2 linked regions of the Bombyx mori genome follow. Each later gene encodes a partner of the first gene's protein in a complex. Links are inferred from orthologs where the notes say so. Each region holds a gene or a part of one and is shown in the gene's direction. Other genes may lie near its edges.

Region 1 (7,583 bases):
ACAATTGAGACTTCAACCTCATGTCATTATGAAGGTAACATTTACACTGTGATATCGTATGAGTTTCGGTAGCTACTAAATTACGAGTACTAAATACCATGTTGGCGCAACGACAATAAAAAAAACCTCTCAAACTATGATACTTAGGTTATAACTAAACCGTTCCCGAAATCAAAACTGTAAAACAATTATTTATTAACTAAATATATGATGGGTAGTCGTATATTGTCACTGAAGTATAGGTCTATGTATATTGTTGGTATATTGTGCGCTGGATGGCAGCTGCGACAAACTACTTTTAGATGGCGGTAGTGTCACGTAGATGAAACACAAAAGTTTTGACAGTTGAGACGGCGAATAGCCGGATGCGGAATTAGTTATAAGCCGTTGCTCGGAGTGCTCTGCACGCATTTGAACGGGAAAAATAATTTAAGCAAGTAAAATAAAGAAAACCACAATTCTACACACCGCAAATGAAGTTTCACTTCTTTCATATGCACCAAGTTGCACGCGTACCGTTTTTTTTTTGCTTATCAGACTGAACTCTTTTTCATTGTATTATATTGTGTTATAAATAACTCGATCGATTTTGTTATTATTTATTTATTCTTTATTACTATAGTTAGATTCATAAGCCAGGAATCTGACTCAAATAAAAAATCTAAATGTTTGTTTGGATTCCAAATTTACCCTTTTTATACTTAAGTAGAAAGTAACATAATAAGCTACCTTAAATACTTTTCACATAGATCAAGGAAAATTAAACAATACCTATCCTAAATTATTTCCTAGCAATAATCATGGTTACCTGACAAACACCAGTATTACATGTATTTACTCAGCGCCTAAGTTACATTCAAAGCTCCCTGAATAGAGTTTAAATAAGACCTAGAATTAGATTCAATTAGTAAGTATCTGAAGACAGCGTCGGAACGTTACTTCGAAAAAACGGCGCGGAAATATGAAACAAAACCGCTGGACTTGGTGATAAAGCGTGTTGTGAACACGCACGGGTAGGTACTACCACCCTGCCTATGTCTTCCTTGAAGCAGTAATGCGTTTCAGTTTGAAGGGTGGGGCAGCCGAGACTTCGAACTAATGTCTCAAAGTGAGTGACGGCATTTTCGTCGATGGTTTCTAGGTGCTCCAGTAACGACTTAATACCAAGTGGGTTGTGAGCTCGTCCACCAATTTAACAATAATAAAAAAAACAAAATAAAAAACTTCACTTCTTTTGAAGAGTAATTAAACTTTCTGTAAATTACCACTATTTTAATCAAGAGTTATTTCATTTCATCTCATACAATACCTAAAGTTCACTTAGTTCATCTCGTTTTCCTTTGTCACCTTCTCATTTCATTCCGAAATCTCATTTCAAAAGAAATCTTTTATTGGACACCATTCAAAGTAAAGGCTAAATAAAGTCTTTCGATTTTTTTTCCTAAGAGGCTCAAACCTGACTATGTTGCTAACACGAACCCTAGCAAGAGCCGTGCTTTGCAGAATCTACCACCGATTCGGAAACGCGACCCAGTGAGAAGATCCGGCGAGAAACTCAGTGGGCTGTGTCTGTGGGTTAATTTACTCGTCGAGCCCTTCGTCGCAAATGACGGGATCGACGAGAACGATGGCCGGTGCTTGAGGTACCTAAAAGGACCGTTAGTGGATCGGGAGGATCCGAAATGACGTGTTTCGTTGACTGCTTTCCATTCTGTCCGCAGGATCGGGAATGTAGTTACCAGCGGCCACGATGAGAGGGTTGTCGTGTTGTGCCGCTTTGTCGAAGTGGCGCATCGATGTCGACTGTAGATACTTACTGATGGACTCTAAGTCCAAGTCGTCATGGAGGTCGATGTTCCTGACGAACCATGGGGTTCCGACGGCTATGCTGCAAAAACGGGATTGAATAATTTGGAGTGATTTTAAGTTAGTGCGGGCCGCGTGAGCGAACACTACACTTGCATAGGTCACGACGGGGCGTATGCAAGTTTTGTAGAGTGTCACCTTATTTATAAGGAACAATTTACTTCGCCTGCAAATCATCGGGTAGAGGCGTCCTAGTATGAAGGTGGCACGGTCGAATACCGTCTTTAAGTGGGGGCGGACTGTCATCCATCTGTCGAGGGTGACGCCTAAGTATTTGACCTTCGGGGCCCACGGTATGAGTTAGTCGTACATTTTTTTATGATTGAGAGATTACTGGTAGCCCGGAGGCCTTTCCAGTTTCACCAGGGGGGCGAGCAAAGGCTCAGCCAGGAGGGGTGGGATTTGCTAACAGCTGCCCAAGCGCCTCCAAAGGAGACCTAACAACTCTAGGGCAGCAGCTTCGCGAATGAATCTACTACCGGATCGGAACCGTGACCCGCTGAGAAGATCCGGCGAGAAAGACAGCGGGCTGATGCATGGGTTAGGTTGCCCGTCGACCTCCTTGTCGAGTTCGACGAGTGCGGTTACCGGGGTCCCTAAGCCTGCTCCTAGTGTTAGAGCTGAAGGCGTCTAATGCAAAGGTTATTGGATCTGATGGATCCGCAAGGACGTGTCTAGGGCGTCGACGGTGACTAGATCCTGCATGATCAGGATTCGGTAATGGTCGTACATCATGATTGGCCGAATGGCAGAGGCGGAGGTGTTGACGCGTCTGGTCGGGAGCGGGATGCTCAATGTGGTATTCGGAGGGCGACCCCTTCTGAAGAGCACCACTGTGCTTTTCGTGGGGTTGATGTCGATGCTCCACTTCCGGAACCACTGTCCCAAGGTGGTAGCTGCTGTCTGTAGTCGCCGATGCAATAACGACTTCTTCCTACACAAGTAGTAGATAGCCGTGTCATCGGCGAAGAGCGCCAAATGGGTCTCCGGAGACCGGGGTACATCATTGATATACAAATTGAACAATAACGGAAGAGGGCGGAGCCTTGCGGGACTCCGGCTGTTACGTGACGGGGGCGAGAGCGCGTTCCCTCGACTCGATATCGGAACGGTCATTCGATGGTTAAGGTTTTTGACAATTAACAAAAATGTTGCAATATGCTTCCTTTCCGCTTAAAGTGATATTTTCCAGGTAGCCTTCCAAATGCGGTTCCCTTTCACTTTTGATGTTAGGCTTCAAATGTTCCTTTTAGAGATTTTAAACGTATGGGCTATATTTTCTTTGCCTCCAAAAACAAAAAACGGGACAACAATTCAAATGTCAATGTCACTTTAACATTTATCAAACGAGATGTCATGTCATCAGTTTTTAAAAAAAATGTAGCTATTTTTTTGCCTAAGTTCAAGTTTTCTTAGAGTCAATATTCGAAATTCATAAAGAAAAGTGTACTTATACATACAGAAATCAATCTATACTAAAAATGTTATGGAGGAAAATTCATCATCAAGCACGAATCCAGCATGGCAAAACTGTTCACACTGCCCCAGCCTTGTTTTCAGCACAGCAGCAGAATTTGAAAGGTTTAAAATTAAGACTTATTTTATAAATTAAGTGATCTTCATCTTATTCAATTAAGCGACGTCGGCACCTATAGCTATGCTCTATGATTTGGTATTTAGTTAATGACTCGGCGCTCGCTGAACGTAAAAGCAAATACATTAAGTATATATGGCTAATACAGATGAATGATATGGATGTTCACAAAAGTTGCTGTTTGAAATGGCTAGCGATATACCCTTCTATAGATATTCCTAAATGTTTTGTAAGCCCAATACTTATATGCTAATATTTATTTTACAGACATATACTAGATAAGCACTCCATAAAAGAGGGAACCATAATCCTTTGTCAATATGGACAAAATGGGATGTGCTCTGCATTACAATTTGGAGATTTACGGAAAGCTGGTTTTAAGTACCACATCCGAGAATATCATACATATACCAGGACACCTAATGAGTCTTGGACATTCTATTCTTCTTCACAAAATCTCCCTGCAGTACTGAATGATCCGAATAGAGGTAAGCAGAGCAATTTCTTCACGAAAACATGGGGTGACAGCTTTGTGGATAAAATTGATATACTTCCTAGTCCTTATTTACCAGATGTAACATTGACACATTTTGAATCTTATTGTAAAAAAATTGCTAAGAGGTACCGAAGACATTTAAGACTAAAAGAAAATTTGCCAGTTAAAAATAAAACTGCAATCATAGAAAATGATTGTGAAATACCAGATATATTCTATGAACCAGGTTTGCCATTAAATGATCCAGTGGTTTTCAGTAAAGTTTTTCCAAACCTTTGTAGTTCTGTAGATAATGATGTAGCTATAAGATCTCTGCAAGAAACATTGAGCACTTATCTGGATGTAATAGAAATGAATATTTCAAAGCAAGTAGCACAAAGATCAGATGCATTTTTTCATGCTATGCTTTCACATGATACAATAATGGAACAGATGGCAAAAGCTGTCAATACTGTTCAGAAAACAAGAAAACATATTAACCAAGTTAAAAAGAATCTGACTGAATGTCCATTGAAATTAAAAAGCTTAACTAGGATAAATTGTAATCTTGGTCATGTTCATGAAATTCTTAAGCTAATGTCAACAGTACAACAGACTCAACCTATGATTCAGCTATTACTCAGTACATCGGACTATGTTGCTGCATTGGATTTAATAGGCTCTACACAAAAAGTATTGTCAACTCGACTTACAGGCATACAGGCATTTAGACACTTATCTCCACAATTAACTGAAATGAAAAGGTTAATTCATAAAATGTTAAGTAATGAATTCCTAAAATTCATTGTATGTGACTTAAATAGACCACTAATAGATGAAAGTGACATTCCTGAAAAAGATAAAATTATATCAATTGTTTCTGGCATTCTTCGTCTCAAAGAATTTGATTTTCTAGACACATTTAAAATGGAAGCTATGACATCTATTCAAGCTACAATAAAACAATCAGTAATTGAAATTATTTCACAGCGAGATGGTTGTTTTGAAATTGTTTTAAGAGGATCAAATGCAGATAACATGTGGCTATTGTGCAACGAAGGCATTTTATTTTTGCAAAAAGTGACTCCAAACTTAGTTATGTTATTTAAAAGAATACTATCATTAACAAATTTGATTATAGATGTAAGTCAAATGGAAGATGTTAATGGGAGTGATAATGAAGAGATTTGGTCAGCTGAAGAATTGACATCTATTGAAGACAAATTGAAAAAAATGATTGTTTCATTGTCAGATTACTGCAATGAAAGATGTGCTAACCTAATTGTAACTAAAACAGACAAAGATTATGTGTGTTCTGATATGTCACAGTTATCTCTCCTATCAAATTTGATTAAAGAATTTTGCACCAAATGTGAGGATGTAACCGGATATTGTAGTAATGCCATGAATTTGGCTCTAAGGAGCTTTGCTATGAAGTATATACAGACACTTCACACTGAACGCAGATCTCAATTAACAGCTTCTCTAAATGCTGAACGATGGAAAACTGCAGATGTTCCATATGAATTGCAAAGTGCAATCACAAAAATATGTGAAATTCAAGAAATACCTCCTAATTTACTGTATGAAAGTGGGAAACCAGACGGAAAATATCTTTTTATAAACAAAGAAAGCTATGCTCTGGTAGGGACAGTTCAACTACTTATAAAAATTTTATTGGAATACTGTGATGCAACCAGACAATCTCCCATTATAGTTCAGTATTTAGTTCATTGTATGTTAGAATTATTAAGATTGTTTAATTCTCGGTGCTGCCAACTTGTTCTCGGTGCAGGGGCAATACAAAGTGCTGGACTTAAAACTATTTCTACATCCAATTTAGCTCTAGTATCTCGATCTTTACAGGTTATATTATGGTTTTTACCTATGATAAAACAGCTGTTAGAGAAAATACATTCTTCTGAGGTATCATTGAGCGGTTTTGTTGCTATTGAGAGTGATATTGCTAGCCATAAACAGGAAATAGAAAATAAGATTTGCTTAATTGTAAGTAATATGTTATGTTCTCAATTAACAGGGTGGGATGCAAAGCCCCCAGTTCCTTCTCAAACATTCCGCAATATTTCAAAACATTTAGTGAAGTTACATGAAGCATTAATTGATATTTTGCCACCTGAACAAATAAAGTTTATATACAAACGAGTACATGATAATTTTAAAGATAAATTAAGAGAACAACTAATTAAAATGAATATAGTTGCTAATGGAAGCCCCCAACATGGTGTAGTGACTTCTGAATTGACATTTTACTTACAAACTCTAAAGACACTCAGAGTTATAAACGATAATGATGCAGAAGACAATATACTATATGACGTTTGGTTAAATTAACTTTTCCAATATTTTATGTAAAGAAAACTATCTATTTATAAATATTACATTAAGTCATCACTTCTACTTAAAATACTTTATGATGATGAAATATTGTTCTCAAATGCAATTGTAGAAACAAACCAAAAAGGTATTTTTATTTCAGAACTAGTTAGCAAAATAAATAAAAATTATCGGTTTTGAAAAAATCGATGATTAAGCTATTGTCATTTTTTATTAGAATCTTTAGAGGCGATCATATTATGTACTATAGATAACCAATCTGAACATGGAGATGCGATTGATAGGTATTTAATCTAAAGTTTAAATTATTAATCTAACATGTATTTATTTCAAGTGTTTTAAGTTTTAATATAAATATTTATTTTAATTCAGATGTGTTTTTTCGAGTATATTTAAACAAAAAAAGGATAAAATAGCTGACAATCCTAAACGAATCCAAGTAAAGATTTTCTGAGATTTTTGCTTTCAACACACGACGGCTATTGGTATAGCTTAACTATGGAGGGTAGAGGTAAGGAATACCATCTTGTACAGGAAACAGGTTTAAAAAGTGCCCACCTGTAAACATCAAAATTATTGTTGGTAGACTGACCGAAATAGTGCTAGTATGGAACAAGGGCGGATCCACCTTTGGCGCCAGGAGGGGGTCACATAGTCGTGGGCAAGTTAAGAACTTATAATTTAATTTTGGTAACAATAGATAATAAATAAATCATGACGTTCTTCAATTAGTCCAAGTTAGTTCAAGTCCTGGAACTAGCTCAGGGGGGGGGTCATGACCCCCATGACCGCCCCCCCCTGGATCCGCCGTTGGTGTGGAAATTGGAAATTATATGATTGAAGTAGTGTGGTAGTTTATGGCGCTACTTAAATTTGCTCCCTTACAGCGGACACTTTTGAATAGGTACATTGAGATGGTGTCCTTTCCAGAGAGTTTTAAATCAATGGCCCTTTCTACTATGGAGAGTAAGCATAACGATCTTTTTTTATATCCCATATATTTCGTTTATCAATCTTTTTGCCCTTAGTTCCTTTTCAACCTGTCTACAAAAGCGTTCCGATAGAGCGATAATTTATAGGGTACCCACCTAAGTGTGTCTAAATTAACATATATGCCAAATTTCTTTTTCAAATACGTTTTAGCGAAAAACTTTAACACAACCAACAACCGCATCAAACTTTAGGATTTTTAATATTAATCGGATTCTATATAAACTTTGTTCAATTTAAGGAAAAGGATAAACTGAAACTGCGAATTGTAGGTACATCAAACGTTATCGAACTTTTAGTTTC
Region 2 (7,583 bases), on another chromosome or scaffold:
CACAATTTAAGGTTCATAAATCTGACAAAGTGTCTTAGAGAGTACCTTTAAAGATAGAAATAAAATAGATAATGAAACATTGACGTGGTTCGCATTAACTTATTCAGAGCTTTTTTAGTGAATTTTAAATCTACAATATGTAAGTAGGTAGATACAAATAAGCAGCATTCATTGTGTCTGCGTTTAAATGAAACATATCACTTGACAATGTATTGACAATGGATTATATAAGTATAAAAAAATATAAAACGCTAATAATACATCCATGCAAGTTTTTTTCTTCTAAACTTTATAATTTGTGGCGGCTCGGAAAAGCTTAATCAATACCGTGGTCTACACCGCGATCTACCCAGTGCATATTGTGGGAACGCATAGCCCACTAAAATAAGTTTATGTACCTAATGATAATCTTGTATCTGGACCAATTTAAAAAAAATTCATGAAGCAGAATAGCAGTCTGTGTAATGTATATTAAACATATTTCTAAAAAGTTTGAATGAGAAAAGGACTGTTAGATTTAACAATGACAATTTAAAATTACCAACTACAATAATTCGAAATATTTCTGGAATACCTACTTAAATCGAGTCATCTTTATGAAAAAAATAATTGCACTTATGCTACAGTTCTATAAATATTACTAAGTACATTATTTACATGAAACGAGACGAATTTGTATGCGTGTGTGAATGGGACTCTACGTTTCTATATTTATTAGATTTAAACATAATAACTATCGTTTGTACTTGAAATATTTATATTTACTATTTACATGCATTTTTCACGTAGATAGATAAAATAAATTTTCATTAGTAACGTCTGCAATGCACAGCGTGTGCATAAAGTTAAGACAAGTTTAAAACATAGTTAGCAATTGACCTGTACATCTGTGATCCTTTCCTGCTAGTAAGTTTAAGCATAAACATTAAACATAGTTCAAAAATTTGCTGTAATTAATAGATACAAATCGATATCAAAAATTTGATACCATCTTGACTTGGCTAGCTGCCGGTTGACGTCCAATTTATTCTATGAGACTGTTCTTCGTATTGATTATTGATATTGTTGTTATGATGCATTGATGTTAAAATTAACGAAGTGATAGAAAATAATACAAATTTATTAGGTGTAAAACACGAGTGAATATTGATAATTTTGTACGATTCATACGTAACGTATTAAGATAGGTACAGTAACAGAATGCTGAACTTTTACTCATAAGCCATTTACTACTTAAATAATAATTAATTTTTAGACTATTATGTGTAACATCATACGTTATTTCTACAAAGTTTGTTAAACTTTACAGTGCCCTATTGTAATAATAATTCTTGTACACCATTTAACAGGGCTAAGTGCCTACTTCAGTTATTGGTTGTGCTATTTCTAATGCCTCGTACACTTACTATATGTATATTTATATTTTTAATGTACCTACTTGTTAGAAAATATGATGGTCTTAAATCGTAAAAATTCTACTACGATCATTGTCGTTGAACTATTTCATATTTATACTTTTTTACAAATTTGAAATTTAATTATAGTGTACTTTAATTAAACCTCTCCTCTTTACTCTTCTTCGATCCTTTCATAATGTAAATACAAATACAGTAAGGACATGGATATAGTAGCGACGTCGTTTCTTTTATTCCTATTTTTCCCCGGGTTTATATCTGTCAACTACTATGTCTATGCATGCAATACGTTTGAGTAACTGCGGCCTATCTAAGGTCAACCTACTTTAAGAATGGTAAACCTTGAACATCAGTTAGACAGTTAGGAAAATAAACTGCTACTAACTGAAACTACTACTACTAGAAATGTCAAATTAGGAAGTACGTCACGGTATTTTTTACTTGATGCCGAGATCCTGTCCGTTTGATAGTCGTAAATTGCAGTTAAACTTTCTTAAATATTAATATAAAACATAATTTATCAGTTAAATAGATCAACGAGAATATGTACTAAATATGTTCATATGTATGTGTACATAGGCATTCATTTATTCTATCTACAAGTCCTTTAATACAATTACAATATGCATAATTAATACAATGGCATTTCTTGACATTTCAATATAATTTTACTCTATTCTTAGTTGTGCTTTTGTTAAAGTTATACATTTTCTTTGTAAATATTTCTTGAGAATAATATCATTGATGCTTATGCATCCATTAAATTTGTGTGTTTATTTTTCATCCCTTGAATTTAATAAAAAACGTACTTTTCTAGAATATTTGAAGTCATCGTAGCTTAAAGGATAAGACTTCCGGTGCATTCGTGTTGAGCGATGCACCGATGGTCGAATCCCGCAGGCGGGTACCAATTTTTCTAATAAAATACGTACTTAACAAATGTTCACGATTGATTTCCATGGTGAAGGAAAAACATCGTGTAATAAAAATCAAACCCGCAAAATTATAATTTGCATAGTTATTGGTGGTAGGACCCCTTGTGAGTCCGCAATAGTAGGTTAGTACCACCACCCTGCCTATTTCTGCCGTGAAGCAGTAATGCGTTTCGAATTGATGGGTGGGACAGCCGTTGTAATTTTACTGAAACCTTAGAACTCATATCTCAAGGTGGATGGTGTCATTTACGGTGTAGATGTCTATGGGCTCCGGTAACCATTTATCACCAGGTGGGCTGTGAGCTTGTCCACCCATATAAATAATAAAAAAAAATCGAGTGTTTGTAGGTTTTGACAGTAAGGCCACAATCCTCACCCACACTTACTTAATTACTTTTTAAATTGACACATACCAAAACCATGTAACAAACTTTTAAAACTTAATTTCCCCACGCTACATAGAAAACCCACTACTGCCTTCAACACCCACAACCCACAACTCCAGGAGCCAACCAGTACTTGGAAGACTTCATACAGTTTCTTAGGGAAATAAAATCATATATTTTCTTGTGGGACGCCTATACATATTTTATATACATAATGAAGCAAAATGAGATGAAGTTAATTAATTTGAGACTGTAATCAATTCGGATGAAATTAAATGAGATGAGATGAGATAGAATAAAGTCTCAATAAAATGGTAGTTATTTAATATGAGATCAGAAACTGGAACAACCCGAGAAGCCACATTCAACACAAAACGAGGTTAATAAACTACCTTTATTACACGTTTAAATCTGAAGAAACCCTAAAATTAGGAAACAAAACCAACAAAACAAAAATTCATACAATTTCGCTCTTCGTGTTCGCGCCAAAGAGTCTGAGATTTTAATATTTTTTTTATTTGGCTGTATGGGCTTTGAACTCTTTGTCCATCCAGAAAGAAAAACGAAAAAAACGTCATAAGTAGTGTCACTGTTTCAGTGCTTTAAATTGTTTAAAACAACAAAAAAAATTAAATACAAAACCTAAAAATTCAAGTAAAATGTATGTGAATAGTTGAAAACGCACACAGTCAAGTATAAATGTTGATTTCCCGTCATTCCACTAGAGTTTAATCATGTCTGATAACAACAACATGAACTTAGACAAAAATCTTGAGGATTTCGAAATCCAAGAGGTTCTCCGTAATGGTACAGATTTGCGAGAATATGCTCTTCAAATCGACAAAGGAATCATCGAAGCTGAAAAAGCATCTGTTGCGGATTATTTGAGAGAAAGTGAGAATATTGGCTCCCTTCATAATCAAATCGAAGAATGTGACAATATTTTAGGGAAAATGGAGAGTATGCTACTGGTGTTTCAGGTAAATTTATCTCTATTTACCGCATAAAACAGATTTACAACACTATTATAGTTTTCAGCCCTTTGGTACCCACTGCTGGGCATAGGCCTCTCCTTTCACACAATAAAGATAGAAAAATACATCTCCTTGGAAAATAAAATAAATACAAAGCATGTTAGGGAATGCTAGGAAATAAAATATTTATAATAATGTGACTATAGAATACCTATTACCTTTATAGAAAAAAGTCTCAAATAAATGTTAATTTTTTAGTTTTTAGTGCTTGTTTAAAAGGCTTAGGAGTTCGACAGACAGAGAAACTATTATCAATAAGATCTAGTGAACTGAAATACCTCTGACAGTTAACTGAGAACTTTAATTTTAATTTCTAATTGAGTTGAGAGAGTTTGAGTTAATCTTGATACTATATCATACCTAAAGATTTCAGTACTGTGGAATTCCCTGGAATGTAAACATGAACTACAAACAGGTCCTACTTGCCAATAAACTGAAAATTTTGATGTTGAGAATAGCTCTATTGAAAAATGTTGTGCCTATTGTATTCTTTAATGATAACTTTTCTTGTAACAGAATGATTTAGGAAGCATCAGCAATGAAATTATAAGTTTACAAAAGCGTTCAGTGAATATGTCAGTACAGTTATCTAATAGACAAGTGCTTAAGGGACCTTTATCTGCATTCATAGAAGACATGGCAGTGTCGGAAACTGTTATATTGTAAGTGATTGCCTGGATTCATTTATCCACTTTTATGGATTTTAATTGTACTCTATTATATTTACTATTACATTCCAGTGGTATCAACAATGTTCCAGTTACCGACAAAGAATTCATGGTGCAGTTGGCAATTTTAAACCAAAAATTAAATTTTGTAAAGGAACAAGATTTCAAAGAAACTAAAGCTTGTCATGATGTCAAAGACGTTTTGGAAAAATTAAAGATAAAAGCAGTGTCAAAGATAAGAACATATATTTTAGAACAAATATATAAATTCAGAAAACCAATGGCAAATTATCAAATACCACAAAATGCCATGCTGAAATACAAATTTTTCTTTGAATTTGTATTGACCAATGAACGAAATGTGGCTCAAGAAATTTGCAATGAATATATTGATACATTGAGCAAAGTTTATTATTCATACTTCAAGTCATATGCATCAAGACTAGATAAATTGAAATATGAAGAAGCACCCAACAAAGATGACTTAATGGGAATTGAGGATGGATCTAAAGGAGGATTCTTCCAGAAATCTAATTTAAAAAATAAAAGTACAATATTCACTATAGGGAATAGAGGTGATGTTCTGGCCCAACAACTAGAAGCACCCATTATTGTACCACATGTTCAGCAAAAAACAAAGGTACAAAATACAATATTACAAATTTCATTTGGTTTCTCGTTTATAGAATCAAGTGATTAAAATCTTTTCATTCCTAAATAAAATATGAAATTAACAACTTTAAAATATTTATTGCTTGCTGTATGCATATCATTTTTTTAATGACACTATATTCATGTTTTGATCCACTTCTTGATAATAAATAAATTATTTTCAGTATTCATATGAAGCCTTATTTAGAAGTCTTCAATATGCCTTGGTAGACAATGGTTGCAGAGAATATCTGTTTACCACTGAATTCTTCCATGTCAAAGGAAACCATGCACAAGAGCTCTTTGATAGAATCCTCGGTAAAACATTGTCCGTGCTTGTAGTGAGTAAACCATTAAAATTATGTACATAAATATTTATTTCTGGAAATTGAATAGTCTGAATTGAATTGAATCATCTTAATTTTTTATTTTACAGAAAAATGTGGAAAACTATGTAGTTGAATGTTATGATTGTTTGGCACTATTTCTTTGTATCCAATTAATAAACAGATATAAGTTAATGTGCCATAAAAGAGCAGTTGCGGCTCTGGACAGGTGAGAATTCATATTAAGAAATGTATCGACACTGACAAACCTTCATTTAGAAGGGTAAGAGCTAATATGGCAAAGAGTAAATAAATATAGGGTTAATCAGCCCTGAGGCGACACTTGTATGTCATGTTCGACCCACCATAAACCCACTCAGTCCTCAAGTCTCATCTTGACTTTAGTGTTTGGTTGAAACTTACTTCTGCTTAACATAACAGTTCTATGTTTGAGTTTGTAGTTTTCCTTATCTTAAACCCAATGCTGATGAGGCCCGTCTCTCCGAATTACATAAGCCATAGAATACTATATACATTGTGAATACCAGACAAGAACTGGCTTTTGATATTGAATGCATATCAATATACTAGTTTTTGCCCGCGACTCCGTCCGCGTGGAATAGTTACTTTGGAATAACGCTAAATTTTACTCCCCACTTCATTTATGTAGAAAGTAACAATATTTTGGAATTGTAGAATGTTAAGAAGCTATTGAAACCCTTATTTTGAAACATTTTTTATTGGTGCTCCACTTGTATTGATCTTACCGTGATGTTATATAACCTTCCTTGATAAATGGGCTATCTAACACTGAAAGAATTTTTTTAATCCAACTGGTAGTTTCTGAGATTAGCGCGTTCAAACAAACAAACTCTTCAGCTTTATAATATTAGTATACAAGTAGATTGTGCCAGTGCTGTTCATTTTGAGGGCTGTAACCATGAGATGATGAAACTGAGAAATCACTCATCATAACTGAATGCATATATTTTTAATATCTATGCTGCCCATTGAAGAGTTCCTTATTCAGAAACCAACCCTCAGCGCAGCAACACCATGTAACGATAAAATCTAAAATACACACATAATAAATGCGTACAACAAAATCTCATATCTATGCTGTGTACCTTTGAAGAGTTGCTTTACCTAAAGCTCATTTTTATGGTCATTGCTTACCATAAAAATACTCTCATCACTGAAATTGAACCAAGAAGTAAAAGTTCAACTCCGTATGATAAGTAGAGGTTTAATTTGCTACATTTGACCCAAACACGCAGATAAATGTATATACAGTAAAAGGTCCTTATTCACAGAATATATGTTTTGTAAGTTTTTTTTCCTACCTATGCTGATAGCCTTGAGAGGCTATTTCAGCTTCTCCTTGACGTGTAGGTGAGCTCACGGGGCTCAAACCGGGAGTGTTGCTAACACTGGCCCTAACAAGAGCAGTACTTCGCACAATTTACCACCGGATCGGAAATGCGACTCACTGAGAAGTTCCGGCGAGAAACTCAGTGGGCTATGTCTATGGGTTAATTTACTTCGTCGAGCCTTTCGTCGCGAGGACTGGTGCTTGAGGTACCTAAAAGCACCGCTAATGTATCCGGAGGATCCGTAATGAAGTGTGTTTAGGGCGACGTCGACTGTTTACCATCCGGTCCACTGGATCGGGTATTTCCGTAAATATGCTGCGAATACAGAAACCTTGAATAAGGAAAAGTACGTTTACAAAGGATATATATCACGCACACCGTGACACGAGAATTTTATAATATATTAGATCTTATATAGAATCTTGAATAATCAAAAAATTTAACAAAGCCCTGAAAAACATCTTAACTATTTACAAGGACTTGTTCCTAAAGTTTTCATTGATCAAATAAATTAATTATTAAATAAATAGTCTATTAAATAAAAACTATGAAACAGAATGATATGCTGTAAATCTCAACACCACAATTTTTATGTCAGTTTAAACGCTAAACTAATTAATATTCGTACGTATGTTGTTGCAGTTACTGGGAATCATTATACAACACTTTGTGGCCTCGGCTACAATATGTATTAAAACTGAACATTCAAAGCGTACGGGACTGCGACCCTTCTAAACTGTCAAACAAGGAAATGGGACCGCATTATGTAAATATTTACAATTTAAATTTCATTAG

What was found. Proteins that work in one complex are often made in the same cells at the same time.
Region 2: vacuolar protein sorting-associated protein 54 (region 1) and vacuolar protein sorting-associated protein 52 homolog share a complex: the UniProt entries of both Homo sapiens proteins name them as parts of the golgi-associated retrograde protein (GARP) complex. The link is inferred for Bombyx mori from reciprocal best matches to the Homo sapiens genes VPS54 and VPS52.

The regions. Positions count from the first base shown.
Region 1 is NC_085118.1:10,580,747-10,588,329, reverse strand, and holds vacuolar protein sorting-associated protein 54, read left to right. Parts: upstream 1-3,193; 5' UTR 3,194-3,352; coding exon 3,353-3,447; intron 3,448-3,727; coding exon 3,728-6,287; 3' UTR 6,288-6,657; downstream 6,658-7,583. UniProt on the Homo sapiens protein: Acts as a component of the GARP complex that is involved in retrograde transport from early and late endosomes to the trans-Golgi network (TGN).
Region 2 is NC_085110.1:11,267,212-11,274,794, forward strand, and holds the start of vacuolar protein sorting-associated protein 52 homolog, read left to right. Parts: upstream 1-3,293; 5' UTR 3,294-3,470; coding exon 3,471-3,716; intron 3,717-4,286; coding exon 4,287-4,432; intron 4,433-4,510; coding exon 4,511-5,078; intron 5,079-5,274; coding exon 5,275-5,430; intron 5,431-5,525; coding exon 5,526-5,644; intron 5,645-7,430; coding exon 7,431-7,554; intron 7,555-7,583. UniProt on the Homo sapiens protein: Acts as a component of the GARP complex that is involved in retrograde transport from early and late endosomes to the trans-Golgi network (TGN).